Linked DNA regions of Drosophila melanogaster. The protein of the gene in region 1 interacts with the protein of each later gene in a biochemical or structural test. Each region holds a gene or a part of one and is shown in the gene's direction. Other genes may lie near its edges.

Region 1 (5,792 bases):
ATCAGCAGCCCATTGCCAATAGCACAAATAATGCGGCCAACAAGTGGAAGGACAGCCTGAGCGACCAGCAGAGCACCGATTCGAGTGCCGAATGCACCATCTGCTACGAGAATCCCATCGACTCGGTGCTGTACATGTGCGGACACATGTGCATGTGCTACGACTGCGCCATCGAGCAGTGGCGCGGAGTGGGTGGTGGCCAGTGCCCACTGTGCCGGGCGGTGATCCGGGACGTCATCCGCACCTACACCACGTAGAAAGGTCGCGGGCGTTTCCTAGCCAAGCAACATTTACTCGCAATCAAACCTACTAAAGCTACACATTATACCATACACACAAGTTGTTGCATTTTAAACGCAATTGAGCGCAAAGAATATTATATTGGAGAGATAGGCATTATTTTTGCAGACTAAAGATTAGATAGTTTACGCAGCTAGATTAGTGTATGAAACTATCAACTAATTTATCACACGTATGTTTAATTTTTTTGTGATGTTATAAGTAAGTGCGCCCCAGAGCCAAAACTATGTATTGTTCAATCCAACAAAGATATCTTCGTTTTTTCAATTTTTTTCAAACCTTGAATCGCCCATTTGTGCGTTGTATACTGAAAAACCAAAGTATTGTATAGGAGTTTATAGTATTTTGAATTTAAATTGGAATTAATTGAAAGTTGTTGCAAATTTACTTAGTTTTTCTCTATGTCTAAATTCCAAACGATGTGCAAAATTAACAAACACAAACTACAAGGATTCTTTATTTGGCGATTAATCATTTTGGTGCTAAATGTTTTGAAAGGCAAAATAAAATTGTTAACGGATTTGAAAAGTTATGTTTAAGCTTGCAGCAACTACGAATGACCTTAATTTGATATGAAATCACAAGAAGCAAATATTGACTACTTTCCAGCAAGGAAATGGATATCGACGCAACTCAAATAAGTTTGCAGCACAAATTAATGAACAAAGATTGATCAGAAAACACTTATGCACGTAAACCAAAATAGAAAACTGCAAGAGCGTGTTTGTTTAAAGTTAATATTAGTCTAGCCCTAAGTACTTAAGTTAATTTCTAGTCAACGAATTATGCTGAAGTTAAATCTAAACCGGACTTCATCCAACAAAGACACCACAAAAAAGACGTATTAAGCACGCTAAGCTATTTTAATGAAGCCGCATTTTAAATTACACTTAAGTAGTGCACGTATTTTAATGGAGACTTAAATATATTTAACTATAAACATAGAACAAAAGACTTGTATGTTGTACCAACAGCTTGAATGAAATATGGAAAATGGAATGCCCATCTAAATAAACCATGCAGTTAGAAAATTGCCAATAATTAATTAACAATACCAAGCAGATTTAACATGAAGGACAAGCAAAGCGGATAAAACTTTACCTAAGATTGTATTAAAACTGAAAAAATGTAATAAGCAAAGAACACAAAGAAATATGCGAAATGGAATAAAGCGCAAGCTTACTATTTTGTTATAAGAATGCATCCGGATAGGAGTAAATGAAGACATGTTATTGCCACTAATAATAAACTTTTAATTTTTTAAAGAATCATAGTTCGTAAAATTACGATACTGCGCCTAGTTATGACTAAACATTTAAATGTATTTATGAAATTATATTTGATATATGTAAGAAAACGCAATGCTGTAATACCATTAAATACTGACAACAATATCAGAAACAATGATGGTTTTATTTATTTTCTGGGAAAAGCGATTTTTTAAATGGACGCCGATCTTGTATGTTTTTGAAAGATAAAAACATTTTCACCACACGACAAGCGGTAAATTGATTTACTTAATTAGCCAACAGATAGCTGGGCCTTAAAAAAGTCAATATTAAATTAAAATTTTATTGTATATTTGTGTTTATTTTTTAGGATGAAAATTTTAAAATGTAACGTTCTAGTTTTATAGTAATGCCACTTGGTCTTGATTCAACGCACCTGTGTTGCCACCTAGCGCATTGTTATCGATTTGCTATACACTGCATCGGCATATTTGTTAGTCCACACTACGGTCACACTTCGCGCAGTAAACAGAGATTTTATCGTGTAGTGTAGAAGAAAAGTACAGAATTAATGGTAAAAGCGCATAAGACCAGCCGAATAAAATTGCCTGGATAAACCAAGTACCTCTGTACACCCCCCATTGGTGAGTAGAAGGGTAAAAAAAGCGAGGGAAATAAGGTTACTGGCCAGCCAGCAAGTGTACACACACAAGCACGACGTAGACAAAATACTAACCCCTACCCCTACCCCGCCCCTCTCTCAATTCCACGAACCTTTTTCCACAGAGCACAGGCGACCCAAATTACGACGAACGTTTTCTAATTACGCATTCCAAGCATGGACGAGGCGAACATACAGGACAAGGAGCGGTTCGCCAGCCGCGAGAACCATTGCGAGATTGAACGACGTCGCCGCAACAAGATGACGGCCTACATCACGGAACTCTCGGACATGGTGCCCACCTGCAGTGCCCTGGCCCGCAAACCGGACAAGCTCACCATTCTCCGCATGGCAGTGGCTCACATGAAGGCACTGCGTGGCACAGGAAATACCAGCAGCGATGGCACTTACAAGCCCTCCTTCCTGACCGACCAGGAGCTTAAGCATCTTATCCTGGAGGCGGCCGATGGTTTCCTGTTCGTGGTATCCTGCGACTCGGGCAGGGTGATCTATGTATCGGATTCGGTGACTCCCGTGCTGAACTACACCCAAAGCGATTGGTATGGCACTAGCCTGTATGAGCACATTCATCCCGATGATCGCGAGAAGATCCGCGAGCAATTATCAACCCAGGAATCGCAGAATGCCGGCCGCATCCTGGATCTAAAGTCGGGAACTGTGAAAAAGGAGGGTCACCAGTCCAGCATGCGTTTGAGCATGGGTGCTCGTCGTGGTTTCATCTGTCGCATGCGGGTGGGCAATGTAAACCCGGAGTCCATGGTCTCGGGGCACTTGAATCGTCTCAAGCAACGAAACTCCCTCGGACCTTCAAGGGATGGCACCAACTACGCCGTGGTTCACTGCACGGGTTATATCAAAAACTGGCCGCCCACCGATATGTTCCCCAACATGCACATGGAGCGCGATGTGGACGACATGAGCTCGCACTGCTGCCTGGTGGCCATCGGCCGTCTGCAGGTCACCTCCACGGCAGCCAACGATATGAGTGGATCGAACAATCAGAGTGAGTTCATCACACGTCATGCGATGGATGGCAAGTTCACGTTTGTGGATCAGCGTGTCCTTAACATATTGGGATATACTCCTACTGAGCTGCTGGGGAAGATCTGCTACGATTTCTTTCATCCCGAGGACCAGAGCCACATGAAGGAGAGCTTTGACCAGGTGCTCAAGCAAAAGGGACAGATGTTCTCGCTTTTGTACAGAGCCAGAGCTAAGAATTCGGAGTACGTTTGGCTCCGCACACAGGCCTATGCCTTTCTGAATCCATATACCGACGAAGTGGAATATATAGTGTGCACCAACAGTTCTGGGAAGACCATGCACGGTGCTCCCCTGGATGCGGCGGCTGCTCATACGCCCGAGCAAGTGCAACAACAACAGCAGCAGGAGCAACACGTTTATGTTCAGGCTGCCCCAGGAGTGGACTATGCGCGCCGCGAGTTAACTCCAGTGGGCAGCGCCACGAATGATGGCATGTACCAGACGCACATGCTGGCCATGCAGGCTCCTACGCCCCAACAGCAGCAGCAACAACAGCAACGGCCAGGATCGGCGCAAACCACACCAGTCGGATATACCTACGACACCACACACTCGCCGTACAGTGCTGGCGGACCATCACCGTTGGCTAAGATACCCAAGTCTGGCACCTCACCCACGCCGGTGGCACCCAACTCCTGGGCAGCACTGCGTCCCCAGCAGCAACAACAGCAGCAGCAGCCCGTGACCGAAGGCTATCAGTATCAGCAGACGAGTCCGGCCAGGTCGCCGAGCGGTCCAACCTATACACAATTGAGTGCCGGAAACGGAAATCGCCAGCAAGCGCAGCCAGGAGCATATCAGGCGGGACCACCACCGCCACCCAATGCGCCGGGAATGTGGGACTGGCAGCAGGCTGGAGGACACCCGCATCCGCCGCACCCAACGGCGCATCCGCACCATCCGCACGCTCATCCCGGTGGACCAGCAGGAGCAGGACAGCCACAGGGTCAGGAGTTCTCAGATATGCTGCAGATGTTGGATCACACGCCGACCACGTTTGAGGATCTGAATATCAATATGTTCAGCACGCCGTTCGAGTAATACCCACACCATTTCTTTCGATTCCCACTCTTCCCCCGTCCCGCAACTTAATCTGTGTCTCTCTTAACCACTTCTCAAGTGCAATCCATCTTACATTGTTGAAATAATTCAGCCAAACGCATGCAAATTGTAATCTCGTAAATAGCATTTTAAGTACATAGGGGTAGTCACGTACACGATTCAGATATCTTTATTTTTGTGTGCTACGTCTTCTTCACTTCCACCTCCCGTATCCATTAGCCCGCCCGCCACCGCCTCCACTTAACCCGCTCATTGGCCGTGCAAAAGTATTTACAATTAAGGCCTTACGATTGTTCGTAACTAAAGGCAATGTGTTTACACCGCTATATAGCCCATGAATTCTAAACTTTCTCATCGATTATATAGGATTAAGTTCATATGTGGACACGCTGTGTGCAGAGTATTCATTTGTATTTGTCATTGAGCATTTTAAAGTTCATACAACGTATAAATATATAAATAATTAAACAATTCGTAGCCTAATATACCACAAATTGATAGTTGTAAGCAACTCAGCAAGTGTACCACTTCCACGCTTTTCCCGCGAACAACATTGACACCATTTCCCATTAATTTTCGCTCATTTTTCGCCAAGGCAATCAGACGTAGACGAGCAAACAATATACGGTCGATATGTACACTTTACATGCTTTATGTGCAGCTTTTCATTTTGTTTTAATTGCATTTTATGCCGCGACAACAAAAACTTCCAAGCTCAATACAGTGGCGCTCAAAATTGAATCGCACTCGCAGAAATGAGACCATTTAATTAATTACGTCAAGTTCAAACATAACATTAGTTAGTTAACCTCACTTCGAGAGAACAAATTCTAAACAACTTTTTAGTCGCTAAGTCCCAACATTTGTAAGTAAGCTCACCACAACGATGATAATGCTTAAAACTTTGGTTATTGAGAATAAAAATTTTGGTTTTTACTGAAAATAAACTTAATGTACTACAAACTATGGAACTTTAGTTACTGATGAGGTTTATCTTTTGCCCGATTTCATCTAGCTGCCGCTGCTCTGCGGGGGAGCTGCCGTACGATTCCTCTTAAAGTCCCTGAATCTGGGTCGCTTGGCGGGCCTCTCTACGGGTGAGCCGTCAGCGGAGGTCCCTCCCATGGTCGTAGCTTCTTTTTCCTGATCCTCATCGTCGCTCTGTTTTGCTTTGATTTGATCTTCCCGCTTCTTACGGGCATTCAGCCAAGACATCATCGTTTTGTTCATCGGTGGCTTTGCGGGCTTAGCCGCCAATTCGATCGGCTTGTTGCACTCCTCGCTTTTGTTTCGCGAGTTGTTTACCAGCTTGGTAACACGATGCCACTGCAGTTCGGTAGCCGGACGCAATGTAGCCAAGGCCTCCTTGTCGCTAACTCGCTTAAAGTCCAGCCAATCCTAGAATATGCGAGGATGGGTAAATTGGACCTGGATTAACGAAGGATTAACAAATGCTTTACTCACATTCATCTGCT
Region 2 (4,780 bases), on another chromosome or scaffold:
ACACCCACCATTAAGCCCAGTATAGGCTGGCACATTCACAACATTCTTAACTGGGATAGCATTTTCATTACAGCCAAAGGTCAGTCGGCTGGGGCAAGGCCTCATTTTATTTTATTCGCCGCCGCAGGCCAAAGTATTATAGAAGCAAAGAAACAAAGCAGCAGCTGAGCAGCACGCTCTAGGCACATTTGCCATGTTTAGAATTAAGACCTCAGATACTTGAGAAGCTCCAAAAGCCCAAATAACCGCAGAAAACGGCAACCGGCGGACGGGCAGAACCAATTCCGAAGGCAGCCAAGGCAGCAGTCTCAGGTCTCGAGTCCCCAGTTCGAATCTCCAGTCTCGGGTCCAACTCATGTTACTCACGTTCCAAACGAGCTTTTGTCAACTTGTCTAAATGATTTTTGCACACTGTAAACAAGCCAAGACACCGAGACAGACAGACGGACGGACTCAACGACAGACGGACGCTCCGTTGGACGGACAGTTGGAACGGCGACAACATTCAGTATTGACGTTGACCCTGCACGACTGCGATTCAGAAGTGGAGGCTCCGTTTGCTTGGGGATGTGAGTGTGTGCCAAGGATTCGCAACCTGAAGTCCAAGTCGTGTGTGATGGGCCAGGAAGGTAGAACTGGGGAGTTGGGAGTGGGGGAGGACTGGAGGCCAAACGGGCAGCAGCATTCCCCGTGGGAGTCTTTTGTTATTGTTGTGCTGATCTCTTGGATTTTTCGTTTCGATATTGTCGTGTAATCACGAATTTATTTTATTGAAAATCACTTGACAGGTGGCGCCTTATTTAACTAAGTTGTCAGCCCTTCCTCTTCTAAGTCCTCCGTTTCCGCCATCTGGGGAAATGACTATGAGAATGAGAATGGAAATAATGCAATGGAAATAATCATAAATGTTTTGTGGGAACAGGTCAGGTTGGTGGAATGGGCAGATATGGCAGACATGTTCATTGTTCCTTATACAACGAAGTTTTATGGTTACAATTTATAGTGGACATCAATTGTAATGCAATTGCTGAACGAAGAACTAGATAGAACGAACTTATGAACGTCTTTACTAAAATTGATGACTTAGATATGTCTGAATTATAAAGTATTTTATTTGGCGCAAGCCATTATTCAATATACTTTCTCAATATTCCTGACCTATCCTTCAAATTCCCATTTCAAATCCTAAATTTTCCTTTATGTGCTTCAGTCGATTCAGAAATGGGCCTCCCCATAATGGGAGCAAATGACTCCCCCAGTAGACCGTCTTATCTCGCCCTCAACAACATCACACACCATCCACAACACAGAACACAATATCACCGCTGGCGTGTTGAGAGTTGCTCCACCGAATTCTCCAGAGAATGCCCCGAGCGAGGAAGAGAACTCAGGTGTTCACGACTCTCTAGAGAGAGGGAGAGACCCCGAGACCGAGGCGGAGGCAAAACAAGAACATGATATATACAACAATATGATGTGTGGATGCTGTATGCTGGAGAGGACCACACCACATTAGTGAGTGGGTCTGTATCTGTGTGGCGGCGACTCTCCCATACGAAAACCTGCTCCACCACCATTTGCAGCTTGCAATGCGCCGCTCCAAGTTTCGCAGATGCAGCGCAGATGAGATGACGATGATGACGATGCTCTTGAGTTCGGACCAACAACATCCAGCCATCCAACCATCCAACCACCTCCAACCAGCCAGCCAACCGACCAACCGACCAAACGACCGAGGCGACCGACCATGTTTCCTGATGCGAGGCGAGGCGATAGTTTATCGCCAATTTTCGTGCCGTGCAGAGGTGAACGCGGACCAAAAACGTGCGAAAGGAAAAGCACTGCCCAGATGCGAGAGAGCCCAGCTCCGGCTCCCTATCGTACCCGTAGTATCTCGCCTCCGTGTAACCCGAATCCGTACACCCAACGGCTAGCGACACCCCTAATTCAAGGTTGACGTTGTGACTTGGTCGTCCTTCCTCGACGTTCAGCCACCGTTCACTTGTTTTTTGTTTGCATCAGCTCTTTTTTGGCTGCCGTCGGTTCTTTTTGGTAGGGACAAGGATGATTTTGAGGGGCTGAGCTAAGCTGAGCCGAGCCACCTCCCGAAAACTCCCCCCTAAAACGGCCATGCGCGTTAACGGTAAATAATGGCCGCCATCTTGGCCCAAACGGAATGTGCAAATATGTCTATATAATCCGCAAGTGTTTGTGTCTCTGTGAGAGTGCGTGTGACCACATCAAATCAAAGATAAATAGCTGAAAAGCTATCGCCGAAAATAAATAGTCTCGCATCAGGGTGGGTCAAGTTCCATAGTAGGACGAATGAGAGATCAATCGCAGGGGCGGAAAGAATTCTATCGGCATAACTTTAATCCAATTGATTTGTTTAAAATTTAATTAAAAAAAAAAAAAAAAAAAAAAAAACTATTAAAAGTCACAAGAATTAACAGAACAGAATTTTGTTCCAATTATCTTATTACATTTTTAGAACGATACTTTATTGGCCAGACCATACTGCCATCATATAGATATATTAATGCAAAGCTTTCTTTCCACACCTACGATTCCGTGTCTATGAAAACCGGACTCACCCTAATAAACCTGCGTGTAGTCATAATATATAGATAGAGAGGAACTCCTAGAAATGGAGCATCACGGCAGTGGGTTCGTGGCTTCGCCATGGGCCGCCGTTCTGGGACACCACTCGATGGCCTCCGATGCCGGGTTCGCCGCTGCGGCTGCTGCGGCGCATGTCCAGAACCACTCGATGCACCATCCTATACACTCGCATCACCACCACCACTCGCACTCGCATCCACACCCACATCCGCACTCGCATCCGCACCACCATCCGCACCTGGGAACCGCCGGAGGGATGCCGATGGATCTGCATGTGCCGCAGGGATTCCCCTACTACAGGTAAATTAAACGAAACCAGAACCACTTCACACTGCACCAATATTTCCCTTCCATTCGCACACTCTATTGGTTTCTCTTTCGCTGGAGTTTGCATGCAAATTTTGGGGGCGTTGCCAATGGCGGAAAAGTGTCCACCTGATATCCAATGGGCTGAGATGCGGAGATGCTGAGACAATTGATGGAACTGCCCACTAACAGGGAGAAATTATTCCACTTCCTTTTTGGGGTGGAAGTTAGGCGATTGCTCGCTCATAACTGAGGTTCTAGGTAAAAAAAAATTGTGACTTAAAGGAACTGACAAGGTACACCTCCTTAATCAGTTTTTATTCGTATGTGAAAATATGTCTCACAATCCTGAAATATCCATTTTTGACCCCAGCATGTCTGACACCTTGTCACCTCATACCCACCACGAAGTGTGCCCCCCCCCCAAAAGTAGCTTTCGCCAAAAAAAAAAATTAAATGTCCGAAAATTAAAATTTTTCAGTTATGAAGTGCAGGCAGAGCACTACAGAGGTGCCAACATCGATGAAACTCATAATTAAACTAATTGAATTTACGTGACAATAACACTTTCGACACTCACTCGCCAGGCCACCGAAAAGCGAGCGATGAACGCCTCACGAAGTCGGGCGATTGTCACGAGATAAGTTGGGCAGCTCCCTCCATCTTTCACTTTTCCCACTCCCAGTACATAAGCCTCCTCCGTAATGCATGGTTATTTTCAATATCGAAAAATGAAATCGGCATCAAAGAACATTTCGCCGCAATAGCCATGAAGCAGAAGTGGCAATCCGGGCTCTGTCTTAAGCCGAGACCTCTTTTAGACATTCCCACAACAATATTGCAATGGCGATGTAATTCATGAACTCTGATTGGTGGCCCCGCCGAAAGAGTCGAGTTTGTAGTTAAGATTGAGGATTGAGGCTCGAGGAGTTCCAGATGCGGGCACAGCAGCTTTGACTACCAGTGTCTGGGGTTTTGGGACTTGGGATGGCTAGAGATGGGCCACAGGGCCTTTTGAATTGATAGTCCGGAGCGAAAGATTTAATAAATATGCTACGTTAGAAGGATATGGAGACATTCGAGAAAACCAGAATAGCTTAAATATTAAAAGTATTGTAGTATAGTATTGTATAGCTGTGCCAAGGGTCGTGAGTCTCGTGACTCACTTTCTTGCCTATCGGTAAGCTGCTCACGCACATCTCTAAGGCACACATAGGCCTTCATGTTCCGAACTTAAGCTTCAACTGGGACTGCAACTTTAACTCCGACTCTGAACTCCCGACTCCGCCACTCCAACTTCTCGGCTCACACAATCAGCGTCTATCAGCATTTTTCAATTATATCGGAATAGCGTTATCCGTGGCTGGATCGCGTCAGAACGCATAATTACTATAATCACCTGAGTTATTACCTTGGCGAATATTGACGAAGACGCGAAGAGAGGGCCGCGAAGTAATATTAAAAGCACAACCAGCGCGGCGGGAAAAGGGTTCCCTGCTGAAATCTAAACTGTGATTGTTTCCCCTCGCCAACCTGCGATGGGCTGCCTCTGATGACTCTGCCTCAATTTCATTTTGGTCTTTTTCCCATTATTTTCATTTTATTTTTCACTTTTTTATTTTTGCTTATGCCTCAATTCGTTAAAGTTACATTACACTGGGAAAAATGGATGGCCACGGGGGAGGGGCCACGATAACTAAAAACGAGTGAGACAAAAAGAGTTTTGACCTAACTGGAAAATTGCTGGGACGTTTGTTTTTCATTACAGCCGACAACTTTGTTGCTTTGTATATTGGAAGGGGAATTTCCAGGGGGAATTTCCAGCGCCTTCACGGGCGGCAAAGGGGGATGA

The links. The genes of interacting proteins can lie anywhere in the genome.
Region 2: the proteins of tgo (region 1) and trh form a complex in vitro, tested with the Drosophila melanogaster proteins (one study listed by BioGRID).

The regions. Positions count from the first base shown.
Region 1 is NT_033777.3:9,016,258-9,022,049, reverse strand, and holds tgo (tango), read left to right. Parts: upstream 1-2,027; 5' UTR 2,028-2,173; intron 2,174-2,315; 5' UTR 2,316-2,367; coding exon 2,368-4,296; 3' UTR 4,297-5,277; downstream 5,278-5,792. Other genes in the region: neur (neuralized), read left to right, coding at 6-257; CG11986 (uncharacterized protein), read right to left, coding at 5,329-5,715, 5,782-5,792. UniProt on the Drosophila melanogaster protein: Heterodimers of tgo/trh are involved in the control of breathless expression. Plays a role in the cellular or tissue response to oxygen deprivation.
Region 2 is NT_037436.4:389,628-394,407, reverse strand, and holds the start of trh (trachealess), read left to right. Parts: upstream 1-1,774; 5' UTR 1,775-2,299; exon of another isoform or gene 2,300-2,402; intron 2,403-2,614; 5' UTR 2,615-2,647; coding exon 2,648-2,922; intron 2,923-4,780. UniProt on the Drosophila melanogaster protein: Transcription factor, master regulator of tracheal cell fates in the embryo, necessary for the development of the salivary gland duct, Malpighian tubules and the posterior spiracles.